3 linked regions of the Danio rerio genome follow. The protein of the gene in region 3 interacts with the protein of the main gene of each other region in a biochemical or structural test. Links are inferred from orthologs where the notes say so. Each region holds a gene or a part of one and is shown on either strand. Other genes may lie near its edges. The genes, in order: smad3a, snw1 and skib.

The links.
Region 1: the proteins of skib (region 3) and smad3a form a complex in vitro, tested with the Homo sapiens proteins (8 studies listed by BioGRID and IntAct). The link is inferred for Danio rerio from reciprocal best matches to the Homo sapiens genes SKI and SMAD3.
Region 2: the proteins of skib (region 3) and snw1 form a complex in vitro, tested with the Homo sapiens proteins (2 studies listed by BioGRID). The link is inferred for Danio rerio from reciprocal best matches to the Homo sapiens genes SKI and SNW1.

The regions. Positions count from the first base shown.
Region 1 is NC_133182.1:34,183,116-34,186,254, reverse strand, and holds the end of smad3a (mothers against decapentaplegic homolog 3a), read left to right. Parts: intron 1-1,293; coding exon 1,294-1,417; 3' UTR 1,418-2,629; downstream 2,630-3,139. UniProt on the Homo sapiens protein: Receptor-regulated SMAD (R-SMAD) that is an intracellular signal transducer and transcriptional modulator activated by TGF-beta (transforming growth factor) and activin type 1 receptor kinases.
Region 2 is NC_133195.1:5,549,525-5,553,654, forward strand, and holds the start of snw1 (SNW domain-containing protein 1), read right to left. Parts: upstream 2,871-4,130; 5' UTR 2,859-2,870; coding exon 2,845-2,858; intron 1,365-2,844; coding exon 1,211-1,364; intron 123-1,210; coding exon 1-122. UniProt on the Homo sapiens protein: Involved in pre-mRNA splicing as component of the spliceosome. As a component of the minor spliceosome, involved in the splicing of U12-type introns in pre-mRNAs.
Region 3 is NC_133186.1:27,900,321-27,904,645, reverse strand, and holds the start of skib (v-ski avian sarcoma viral oncogene homolog b), read left to right. Parts: upstream 1-1,497; 5' UTR 1,498-1,825; coding exon 1,826-2,722; intron 2,723-4,325. UniProt on the Homo sapiens protein: May play a role in terminal differentiation of skeletal muscle cells but not in the determination of cells to the myogenic lineage. Functions as a repressor of TGF-beta signaling.

The sequences.
Region 1 (3,139 bases), on a different chromosome or scaffold from region 3:
GTGCCGATTGATGGACTTTGGCCAGGACAGTGGGGTTACACCCTTACTTTTTACGAGAAGTGCCATGGGATTTTTAATGACCACAGAGAGTCAGGACCTCGGTTTAACATCTCAACCTCACTGACAGTACAGTGTCCCCTTCACTTTTACTGGGGCATTAGGACGTCCCCTGCTGGCCTCTCTAATACCACTTTCAACAGCAACCTAGTTTTTCCTATGTGGTCTCCCATGCAGGTACTGACCTGGCACAGGTCTGCTTAGCTTCAGTGAGTAACCGGTCTTAGGCTGCATGGTGATATGGCTGTGGCAATAATAATAATAATAATAATAATAGGCAACGCGGTGGCACAAAGGGTAGCGCTGTCACCTCACAGCATGAAGGTCACAGGTTCGAACCCCGGCTGTGTGGAGTTTGTATGTTCTCCCCGTGTTTGCGTGGGTTTCCTCCGGGTGCTCCGGTTTCCCACACAGTCCAAAGACATGTGGTACAAGTGAATTGGGTAGGCTAAAAATTGTTCACAGTGAATAAGCGTGTATGGATGTTTCCCAGTGATAGTTTACAGCTGGAAGGGCATCCGCTGTGTAAAACATATGCTGGATAAGTTGGTGGTTCATTCCACTGTGGGGACCCCAAATTAATAAAGGGACTAAGTCGAAAAGAAAATGAATGAATGAATAATAATAATACATTTAAACTAAGTGGTTAACTCAGGTGCTGGTTTTTGGTCTTATTTATTTGTTTTGTAAATTTGCATTGATCTTATTGACATGAAATGTTGTGACTTTTCCTACACTTGCTTCATACTTAAGTGCTTATAACTTAAATTGGCAAATGTGCTTATCATTGGATGCTGGATAAGTTGGCGGTTCATTGCACTGTGGCGACCCCGGAATAATAAAAGGACTAAGATGAAAAGAAAATGAATGAATGAATGAAATACTTGAGCCATAACTTTAATTTACTGCAAAACTGATGCCTGTCACAGTCATATTTTCTCTTATAATGTTAATTATGTAATGATTTATATAAACAAATTCAAGCAGCAAGAAATACATTTCATTTTTTGGAGCTTGCCTTTACAAGCATTCAAGCCAGCCCCTTTCCACTTCATTTGGCCTAAATAAAATCATATACCTTTCAGATTTTATTAAGTTAGGCTGTCTGTAGATGATTAGATTACACTGATCTGATGCAGTACATATATTTGAATATGGCTAAGTGTATTCATAGTTTTGCACATTGTGTCGGCATTCTGATTTCTAATTATTTCTCTCTCTCTTTAATGGCGTCAGGCGGCAGACAGTGACTAGCACCCCCTGCTGGATAGAGCTGCACCTTAACGGGCCTCTGCAGTGGCTGGACAAAGTACTCACTCAGATGGGCTCCCCCTCCATCCGCTGCTCCAGTGTGTCATAGGAAGAAAAAAAGACTGCACAAACTCAACATATACAAACCACCAGATCTGGAAAAAGTTCCTTCAGGACTCAAAGGCTGGAGATTACAGACTCGGTAGCACTTTCACATGTGTTTGTTTCAATGTTGGAGACATTGTATTATTACAGTATATGTACAGTACATACTTGTTTTTTTATGTTATTGTTAGCCATTTTTATTGCCATGAAATATTGCCATTTATGATATATTTTGTTATATAGCATGTCTATGTGAGATATCTCTTCTCTGTCATGTCTTTTCTGATGCTGTTATGTTAGAATTACCATAACAGAGGCTTATTTTTTTAGAGGCGTGATAAAAAGTGCTTTTTTTGTAAAGTGTAGATATGTCGTTTTTACAAATTTCGGTTAAATCAAAACAACACAAATCTGGCCCAATGTATAATGTTGTCTAATACATATCAAGAGTTTGACATTCTTTAGTTAGGGATGGTTTACATAAAATGAACATTTTAAATCAAGTGAACATTTACTCAAACTCAAGTGGTTCCAAATTTTAATGGATTTCTTCTGTTGAACACAAAAGATATTCTAAGAAATGATGGGGGAAAAGTAGCCCTCATTCATTGTACAAATAAAAAAAACTATAAAAATCAACAGCCGTTGTATCCCCTGCATTTATCTCTCTTTGTGTTTAACAGATTTAAGAAACTCAAACAAGTTTGGAACAAATGTAGAATGAGTAAACGATGACAGAAGTTTCATTTTTGGGTGAACTGTTTTAAGAAAGAAAGAAGAAAAAGAAAGAAACTCTTTGACTCATTTTTCTTTTTTTTTTTTAGAATTCTACTCAAACATTGAATCCCCAAATTAATATCTGATACATATCAAGAGTTTGACATTCTTCTTGACGGGATACTTTACATAAAAATGAAAATTTTCAAATAATTTACTCACACTCAAGTGGTTCTAAACCTTTATGAATTTTGTCTTCTGTTGAAAACAAGATATTCTGAAGAATTTTGGTGGAAAATCAGCCCTTGACATTGACTGTACAAACAAAAAATACTATAAAAGTGAAGAGCTGTTTCGTTCCTACATTCTTCAGTATATCTTCTCGTGCGTTTAGCAGAAGCAAGAAACTCAAACAAGTTTGTAACAATGAGTGGATAATGAGTAAGCGATGACAGAAGTTTCATTTTTTGTCCCTTTAAAAAAGAAAGAAAGAAAGAAAGAAAGACTTTGAGTCCTTTTTCTTTATTTTAAGAATTCTGTTCAAACATTGAATCCCTAAATTAATGTTGAATACACATTAAAAGTTTGAGATGTTCTTCTTGAAGGGAAAATTTGCATAAAAAAACGTTTAAAAAAAAAACGTTTTTACCTCTTTACTCACATTTGAGTGGTTTCAAACTTTTATAAATGGTTTCTTCTGTTGAACACAAAACAAGATATTCTGAAGAATGTTGGGGAAAATAGCGCTTTACATCCACTGTACAAACAAAAAATACTATAAAAGTCAAGAGCTGTTTTTCCGTACATTCTTCAGTATATCTTCTTCTGGTGTTTACCAGAAGAAAGAAACTCAAACAAGTTTGGAACAAGTGGAGAATGAGTAAACGATGATAGAAGTTTCATTTTGAGTGAACTGTCCCTTTAAAAGAAAGAAAGAAAAAATAAAGAAAGAAGGAAAGACAGTCTTTGACTTCTTTCTCTTGTTTTATAATTCTGTTCAAACGTTGAA
Region 2 (4,130 bases), on a different chromosome or scaffold from region 3:
TTGATCTTGCCCTCTGCATCCACCTGCACTGCCAGAGCATTGGACGTCCTTTTCTTCCTACCCATTTCCAGAGGATACTGGGCAACATGGATCTCTGGAAAAGCTCCTCCATCTCCAAAGTCCTTTAAAAGAAATATCATTCATTCATTTATTTATTTATTTATTTATTTTCCTTCAGTGTAGTCTCTTATTTATCAGGGGTCAAGACCGCGGATTGACAAGCCAAAAGAAATATCATAACACTTATTATTACCGTTTGTTAATTCACAGTAAAATTATGACATCAGAATACAACTATTCATAATTCTAAAGTTGAATTATTATGTTTGAGACAAGTGCTTGCCATTTGTCATTGACAACATCATTAGAACATTTTTACTGGTAAAATGAGACATTTGTCATTATCAGACTCCTTCTTGCATTATATTTATCATTATATAGGCTAGGGTAGTTATCCTGACATAGCAAACATTCATTTTCATGCACAACACTGTGTTCACTATGAAAGAAAAAAAACATATCAAATGTTTGTTGTAATCAGAACTGTAAAACGCGTTATGATTATATAAATGATTTGCAAGCCGACTTTACTTTCACTTCCGAGTGCGGCTAATGCCTGCAGTCACTCTGAGAAAACAATACACACATGCAAATCTTTCTTTTAGCACGACTCTCAAACGATCGTTCTGTGCAACAAACTGAACGTTATTTACAACTTTATTACATGTTTTTCACAGCCTATGCAGGTTCTGTTCACTAAAGGAGGAGTCATTTTTGTACACGTGCGTGTTCTCGGTAGTAAACAAACAGGTTGCGGTCATTACATCATTACATTTCGACAGTAATGACATTTCTGGGAGAATTATACCTTATAAATATAGTATGTGACACTTTTAACACCATTTGAAGGTGTCAATATTGCTGTGAAGGCTTGTGCGACTGCCTTTACGCTTCTGTCCTGACCTTGAATTGGCTGAATCGTAGAAAAGCTGAATTAAGATCGTGTGTAGGGTCAAATCGAGATCATGATCTTTTTTTCGATTAATCGTGCAGCCCTGATCAGGCCCACTTGCAACCACACTTTCTAAATACACTGGATATGTCATGTGGTCTTATCACTTGACTATTTACAAATGCGGGTATTGGAACAAGCCCATAATGCAGCAGGATATATGACAGCTATCAGCACGTAATGTTTAATTGTTAGTACCTCTAGAGCCCGGGGTACCCATGACTTTCTGAAGCCGTAAGGAGGAGGGTCTCTGCGGGTGGAGACCAAAGCAGTGGACTGGGATCTGTATGCCTGAGACCTCTCCTCTGCCTCCAGCTGGTCCTGGGACAGTTGGGTGGGCGCAGGAAGAAAACTAAAAGAGAATGGGGAAAAGAGCCAAGTCAGATTAAGAGATGTGCAATCTAATAATTTCTTTTAAAAGTCTATCCTATGTGGTGTCACAAAATACATTATTAACAGTAATACTTTTTCAGAATTTTAATGATTTTATGTTTTTATTTTATTTTAATATTACACTACATTATGAGGATGTGGACAAAAACATGAATAACAGCACTGTGTGAAAGTTGCAATCTTAAAAAAAAAACATCTAAAAATATTTCAATTTTATTATTTGAGATGTATTTTTGAAATGTTTTGCCTTTATTAAACAGTAAATCAGAATGACAGGAAGATAAGTGAGAGAGAAGTTCAGGAAAGGTCCACAAGCCTCGAACTCGGGACACCATGAGCACTGTACACTAAACCACTGGGCAATTTTTAGTTTATATTTATACATTCATCATGACGTTATGAATAAAGTAAAGAAAATGATGACTTATGATGAAGTTTGATTTTTGTCTAATGGCCCAGCCCTAGCCAGGATGACATATTATTAAACCATCAGCTAACAATTGAGGTAAGGTTTGTTTTATATTCACACATTCAGACTTTCTCCTTAATAATACAATTTAAGAAAAGTATTCTTTGCAAACTCTACATAAGAAACCATATAAGCCAAGCAATCACCGACTATCAAGGTATACCATTGCACAATCAAAATAAATTGTGCTAATGTTGCTTTCGAGTCATACTTGTATATGATTAAAGACTGAATATTCAAAGTATCATGATAAACAATATAGGGAGCATGTCATAAGTTGACACTAAACAGAATGTGCGTATATAAAACCAACTTTACTGCAATGTAGATGCAAAATTCAACCTATATTCATTGGAACGTGGGTGATTGATGTTGAAACAGTGGCTCGATCTCACGTGAAAATATTATTGCATTAATAGACTAACGTTATTCGAATGGCCTCAATTGTAACATTACGTCAAAAAAAAAAGTTAATGCTACCTAACGTTAAGCATTAAGAGCCACAAACACAGCCGTCTCTTGGGGGTGAGCAGAGCTATGAGTGTGTTGGAATAGTGCATATGTACACTGATAAATAAAATTGCTACGACGATGATAAATAACGTTAGCCTAACGTTACACATTACATCCAGGAATAAATATATATTTTTAAAGTTATAAATAGCTTTTATATAAGCAATTATAATGAATAAAAACATAATAATGAGATATTCAAAGTCCATTTATCTTTTAAATATGTTATTATTTGCTTTTGCTGTGGCTGTAGCTTTAGCTTAGCATTCACTATTATACAAAGACCACAACACAGCAGGCCTCATCGTCTCACATAACACAACTTGGGTAATAACTAACACAGAGTTTTCACAAACTGTAAATGTACATACATGAAAAACACATGTACGCTTTTAAATTGAGTTTCAACACATAAATTGAAGCATAAAACCTTAAAAACAGCTTCTCTGCGTCTTACCTCGTAAGCGACATCTTGGATTCTGTGCGTTCTGACGTCACTCTACTGTCTCATAACTTCTCGCGATGTTTAGAGAATTAAGGGATTAAGCGCTGTCAAAACTGTATAAAGAGGATAATATACAGTTTAGCGTTTTATAGGCTTTATATGTATCGAATATATCTATACATTCTATATATACCTATCTAAACTATAAAGTATAGACTATACATTAGCCTACAATCTTCTGACAGCACATATCATGTGGAAATACCACTTATGGCAAGCCGTTTTAACATTTAAGCTATAACGCATACTAGTAGTATATTATTATGTTACTAGTGATTATTTTTAGATACTAGTATCTTTTCCTTCAACTGTATTAGATAGTGCTTATTTATTAGATACTAGTGCCTATTCTTTAGATAATTGTGCCTCCCCTGTAGAAAAATCCAGCTTAAACCAGCCTAGGCTGGTTGACTGGTTTTAGCTGGTCGACCAGCCTGGTTTAGAGGGGTTTTGCCCATTTCCAGGCTGGCTTCTAGCTATTTCCAGCCTGGTTTTAGCTGGTCAGGTTGGGAAATGACCAGCTAAAACCAGCTTGACCAGTCTAGCCAGACTGGGAGTCCAGCCAAAACCAGCTATGTCCAGTTTAAACCAGGCTGGTCAGGCTGGTATTAGCTGAATTTAACTGGTCATTTTCCAGCCTGACCAGCAAAGACCAGGCTCGAAATGACTGGAAACCAGCCTGCAAATGGCCAAAACCCCTCTAAAGCCTCTTTTCCCTGTGTTTATTACCAATCCAGAATCCTAAAATCTATGCTACATAATTGCACCTTACAGAATCTATTATACAAAATCTTGTCTTGGTGACAGCATTGACAGCCTCATGAGAGCTTGTATTTCATTTAAACTTGGGGGGAAAGCATTGATATGGCTATAAAACAGTTTAGATATGGCTATAAAACAGATTAGAGATGTGTTAATATCACTTCCTCAGCTAATATCTCTTTCCCATTCATCTGTATTAGCTTTCCAGGATATTTCACTGGTTGAAGACAGATTGTGTGTTAATTCACAGGGCTGCCGAGCTGTGTGCGTATAGCCTTAGAATACTGATGTGTTAGACTCTTACACCCTGTGTTAGCCTTGAGCAATAAGACATATGCAAAGAAGACAGTTACTATTATCTGAGCAAAATGGCCACAAGGGACTTTACGAGCCCTGCCAAATGTCAGATTCCATTTAAAACTATTAACATGTTCTGAAGACCTGCTTTTCAGCTTGACAGACAACTTCTTTCTTTA
Region 3 (4,325 bases):
CCTGTGTGCCAAAATGAACCATTAGATAAATGCCTGTGATTTTCTAAGTTCCATGAAAAACAAATTAGGCTGTTACAGTTTCACCCAATCTAAACAGAGCCGTTTGAGTTATGCCTCCACTAAACTCTGCTCTTGCAGTTTACAACATTTCTCATAACGGCACTTTGAGATAAAAGTGCATTTTTATTGTTGAGTAGGTTTTGTGCAAATATTTTCAGTACTGCACAGTTGTTCTCAAGAAATCAACACTGAATAACCTAAACTAAAGCAATCCAAATGTTTCAGATTTTTGGGTTTAAAACTGTGCAACACTTTAAACAACTTTAATTAGTTGTGGCTTCAAACAGTAGTATATCAGCATATTATATGGCGAGCTTGAATGTTTTATTTTCATCAGTCAATCATGTGGTTTATTGTAGCTTTATGACATGGTAATAACTGTGCAGAGTTTTTAGTTCTTCTAGATGTTTTGTTTTATACATGATAATCAAGTGTTTTAGTGAAAACTTCCAATTTGTATTTAATGTCAGCTTATTTGTATCTGAGAGTGAACAGATGTTTTTAATTGTTTATTTCTTGTGTGTGTGTGTGTGTGTGTGTGTGTGTGTGTGTGTGTATATATATATATATATATATATATATATATATATATATATATATATATATATATTTATTGGATAAAAGTTTTAATAGATGCATTGTTATAGTTTGCATGAATTTAAATATTTATTTAAATTTATTACAAAATTAAAATTAGAAATCAGAAATTAAATAGTGTGTGAGTGTGTGTGTGTGTGTGTGTGTGCGTGTGTTTGCGCGTTAATATACATTTTAATTAACATGTTTTAACATCTCTCAGTGTGTGCTTATAAAATCATTTAAATATGTAAATAAGACAACATTTATTATATATTTAAATGCAAAATCATATATAATAAATTTATTTCCAATATCTAAAATTTAAATGTAAGGTATTAATGCAAAAATAGTCATTTTATTAATATATTTAACAGTAATATTTTATTTAAAATCTTAAATAATTTAAAACAAAAATACAAATATAGTTATTCCTTTTAAAATGCATAAAAATGTGTGAAAATTATTATATTAGAAAAAAAATCAATGTATCTATTAAGAAAGAGTGTTCATTTTCACCGCGTAAAATATTGAAACACTTTGGCAAGACGATCAAAATAAAACATAAGCTGACATCAATGATTAAATGACTTATCGGTTGTTCCACTCAAAGGTATGTAATCCGCTGCTGTTCATATGTATAAGCTTTAAAGTTTATTAATGAAAGTTACTATAGACCGTGTACGTAGACTCCTCCTCTTGCTGCAGCGCCTTTACGTGTAGTTTGTGTTCCCGCTTTTGCAGCTGCTCGGGCTGCGGGGGGAGGCGGCGCGTCTCCTGGAACAGCCAGCCCGGGGAGTCAGTCACATTCTTGGCCGGGATTCAATGACTGAACCAGACACAAACAAACACTGAGGGAGAGAGAAAGAGAGAGAGGGAGAGCGAGACTTGCACACACTCTCATAGTAAAGCGGAGGCAACTGCGCTTTTACACCAGCCACGCATTTTGCGCGTGAGTACTGTGATTTACACGGATTGAAGAATTACATTTCGACCAAAACTTTACACTTTTTGTGGGGGAGGATTTTCGCCTCGCTCGGAACTCCGGTTCTTTCTGGTACGACTTACAGAATCGGACATGAAGCAGTTGAATGGATTACGAGGCGGTGTTTTACGCTTTCGGAACTGACACGGACTGTCGCGACTCACATTTATGAATCTGTTGTGATTAAACTGCCCAGGTTTAAACATGGAGGCTCCTTCCAGCTTTCAGCCGCATCCAGGACTTCAGCAAACTCTCAAGCAGTTTCACTTGAGCTCCATGAGCTCCCTCGGCGGACCGGCAGCCTTCTCGGCCCGGTGGCAGCAGGACATGCTGTTCAAAAAGGACGGTAAGAGCGCCGAGGTGCTCGTGAACCTCCCCGCGCAGACGCCCCCGGTCATGCCGGGACCCCTGTTCATCCCGTCCGACCGCTCCACCGAGAGGTGCGAGACGGTCCTGGAGCGGGAGACTATTTCGTGCTTCGTGGTGGGCGGCGAGAAGCGCCTGTGCCTGCCGCAGATCCTCAATAGCGTCCTGCGAGACTTTTCCCTCCAGCAGATCAACTCTGTGTGCGACGACCTGCACATCTACTGCTCCAGGTGCACGGCGGACCAGCTGGAGATCCTCAAAGTTATGGGCATCCTGCCCTTCTCGGCCCCCTCGTGCGGACTCATCACACAAACAGACGCCGAGCGCCTCTGCAATGCCCTCATCTACGGCGGCACGTTCCCCCCGCACGCCGACAAAGAGTTGTCCTGCTCCATTGAGCTGGAGCGCACAGAGAAGAGCTTCAAAGTTTACCACGAATGCTTTGGGAAGTGCAAGGGCCTGTTCGTACCCGAACTCTACACCAGCCCCAACGCGGCGTGCATACAGTGCTTGGACTGCAGGCTCATGTTCCCGACCCACAAGTTCGTGGTGCACAGTCATAAAAGGCTGGAGAACAGAACCTGTCACTGGGGCTTCGACTCGTCCAACTGGAGGGCTTATATTCTTCTAGATCAAGACTATAGCGAGAAAGAGGAGAACAGCACACTGCAGCAGCTCCTCACTGAGTTAAAGGGAAAATTTGAAATGGGGAACAAGCACAAGACATCTTACAAGGTGAGCTCAGCCCTTCAACATGCAAATCTGCATGAAAATCTAGTGCTCCAGAGTTATTGTGCAATATTTTACTCCTATATGTTTATGAATGGTGTGTAATTTTACTTTATTGATTCTCATACTTTTGTATTGATCTTTTGCACTGTCTTGTGCGCAATTTGATCACACACCACCTATTAAGCTTGCCATCACCTAAAAATGTCCTATATCTGTGGTTTGTAATTAGTTTTTTCTACAAGACCCAGATTTAAACATACACAGTAGTGATCACTAATTTTTTTTTATTGTAAAAGCAAAAATGTTTTGAGACCATCCATGTGGACCTTAGATCTCCAACAATTTATTAATTTAAAAAGTACTTAAAATGAGTCGAGACAAGGTGACCTCAGCGTAATAATCTGGCCTCTAGTGCTTCAAACATATTATTGTGTAATTTTTTACTCCCATATATTTATTACTGCTGTGTAATTTTTCTTTATTGATTTTCATATATTGATCTTTTTTCCTGTCTTTGGTGCAATATGATCACACAACACCTATTACACTTGGTGTCACATCAGAAAACTGTCCTATAGCTGCGGTTTTACTTGCTGTTCAGATTTAAAGTAGCGACCACATTAAAATGGCTATTCAATCAAGAAAAAATGGTTCACGTCAAATAGTTTCATTGCACAAACACGCTGTACAATGCAAACCTTGCCTTTCCTTTCAGTCTATATTGTTTGTTCAATTTTAACATAAGGATAATGGGTACTATTTAATACCCATAGACCCTTTTATTGAACAGTTCTTAAAATAAAACCTATTTTGTTTGTATAAAGAACATTCCAGTAATCTTAAATGTTTTTTCTGGGTTATAAAAAAAGGTTATATGGATGTTAAAGATTCCAATTAGGAGCACATACACTGGTATAAAGCCTTTATGTTTAAGAATATGTTTTTGAATGCAGCACAAGCTCTCCTCTGTCAGAAACATGGGAAGTTTTATCCCCCTTTCGAATCATTTTGCATCATTCTTTACCAACTTTTTAAGATCATAACAGACCAACTGAAAACCACTGACCTATTGGTGACTTCCAATGCCATCTTGGGGGAAAAAAGTGCACAGTCGGACCACCAACCAACCTCCCCAGTGCATTTGTCTTGTGCCTCTGGATGCACTCAGGGCCATCTGCATATGATAAATGGAGCCTCAATTATGTATTTTATAGGAGCCAGAGATAGATGGGAACGCTTGGGGAAGCCAGCCGAGGAGGAGGAGGATAAGGGTGCTGTGTAGGACATTGTTTTGTGTGTGTGTTTTGGGTGGGGGGCAGGTTGGGGTTGAGGTCAATCTCCAAAAAGCAGTTGTTGTGGGGTCAGCGCTGCCCTTGGTCTGATCAGGCTCCTCACCAGGGTCAGAGACACGGCAAGCGGACAAAAGCATGGCAGTCTCGGGCTGGCTGCTCCTTCCACGCAGCAGCTGTTGAGTGTGATTGTGCTAATGGGTCTACACACATATATGTATGTGTTACCATGGTGTCACTTCGTCGGGCTTGGGATGCATGGTGTGGCGAATGCAGTTTCGTTAATGTGGGAAATGTGAGAGACATGGCACATTTTA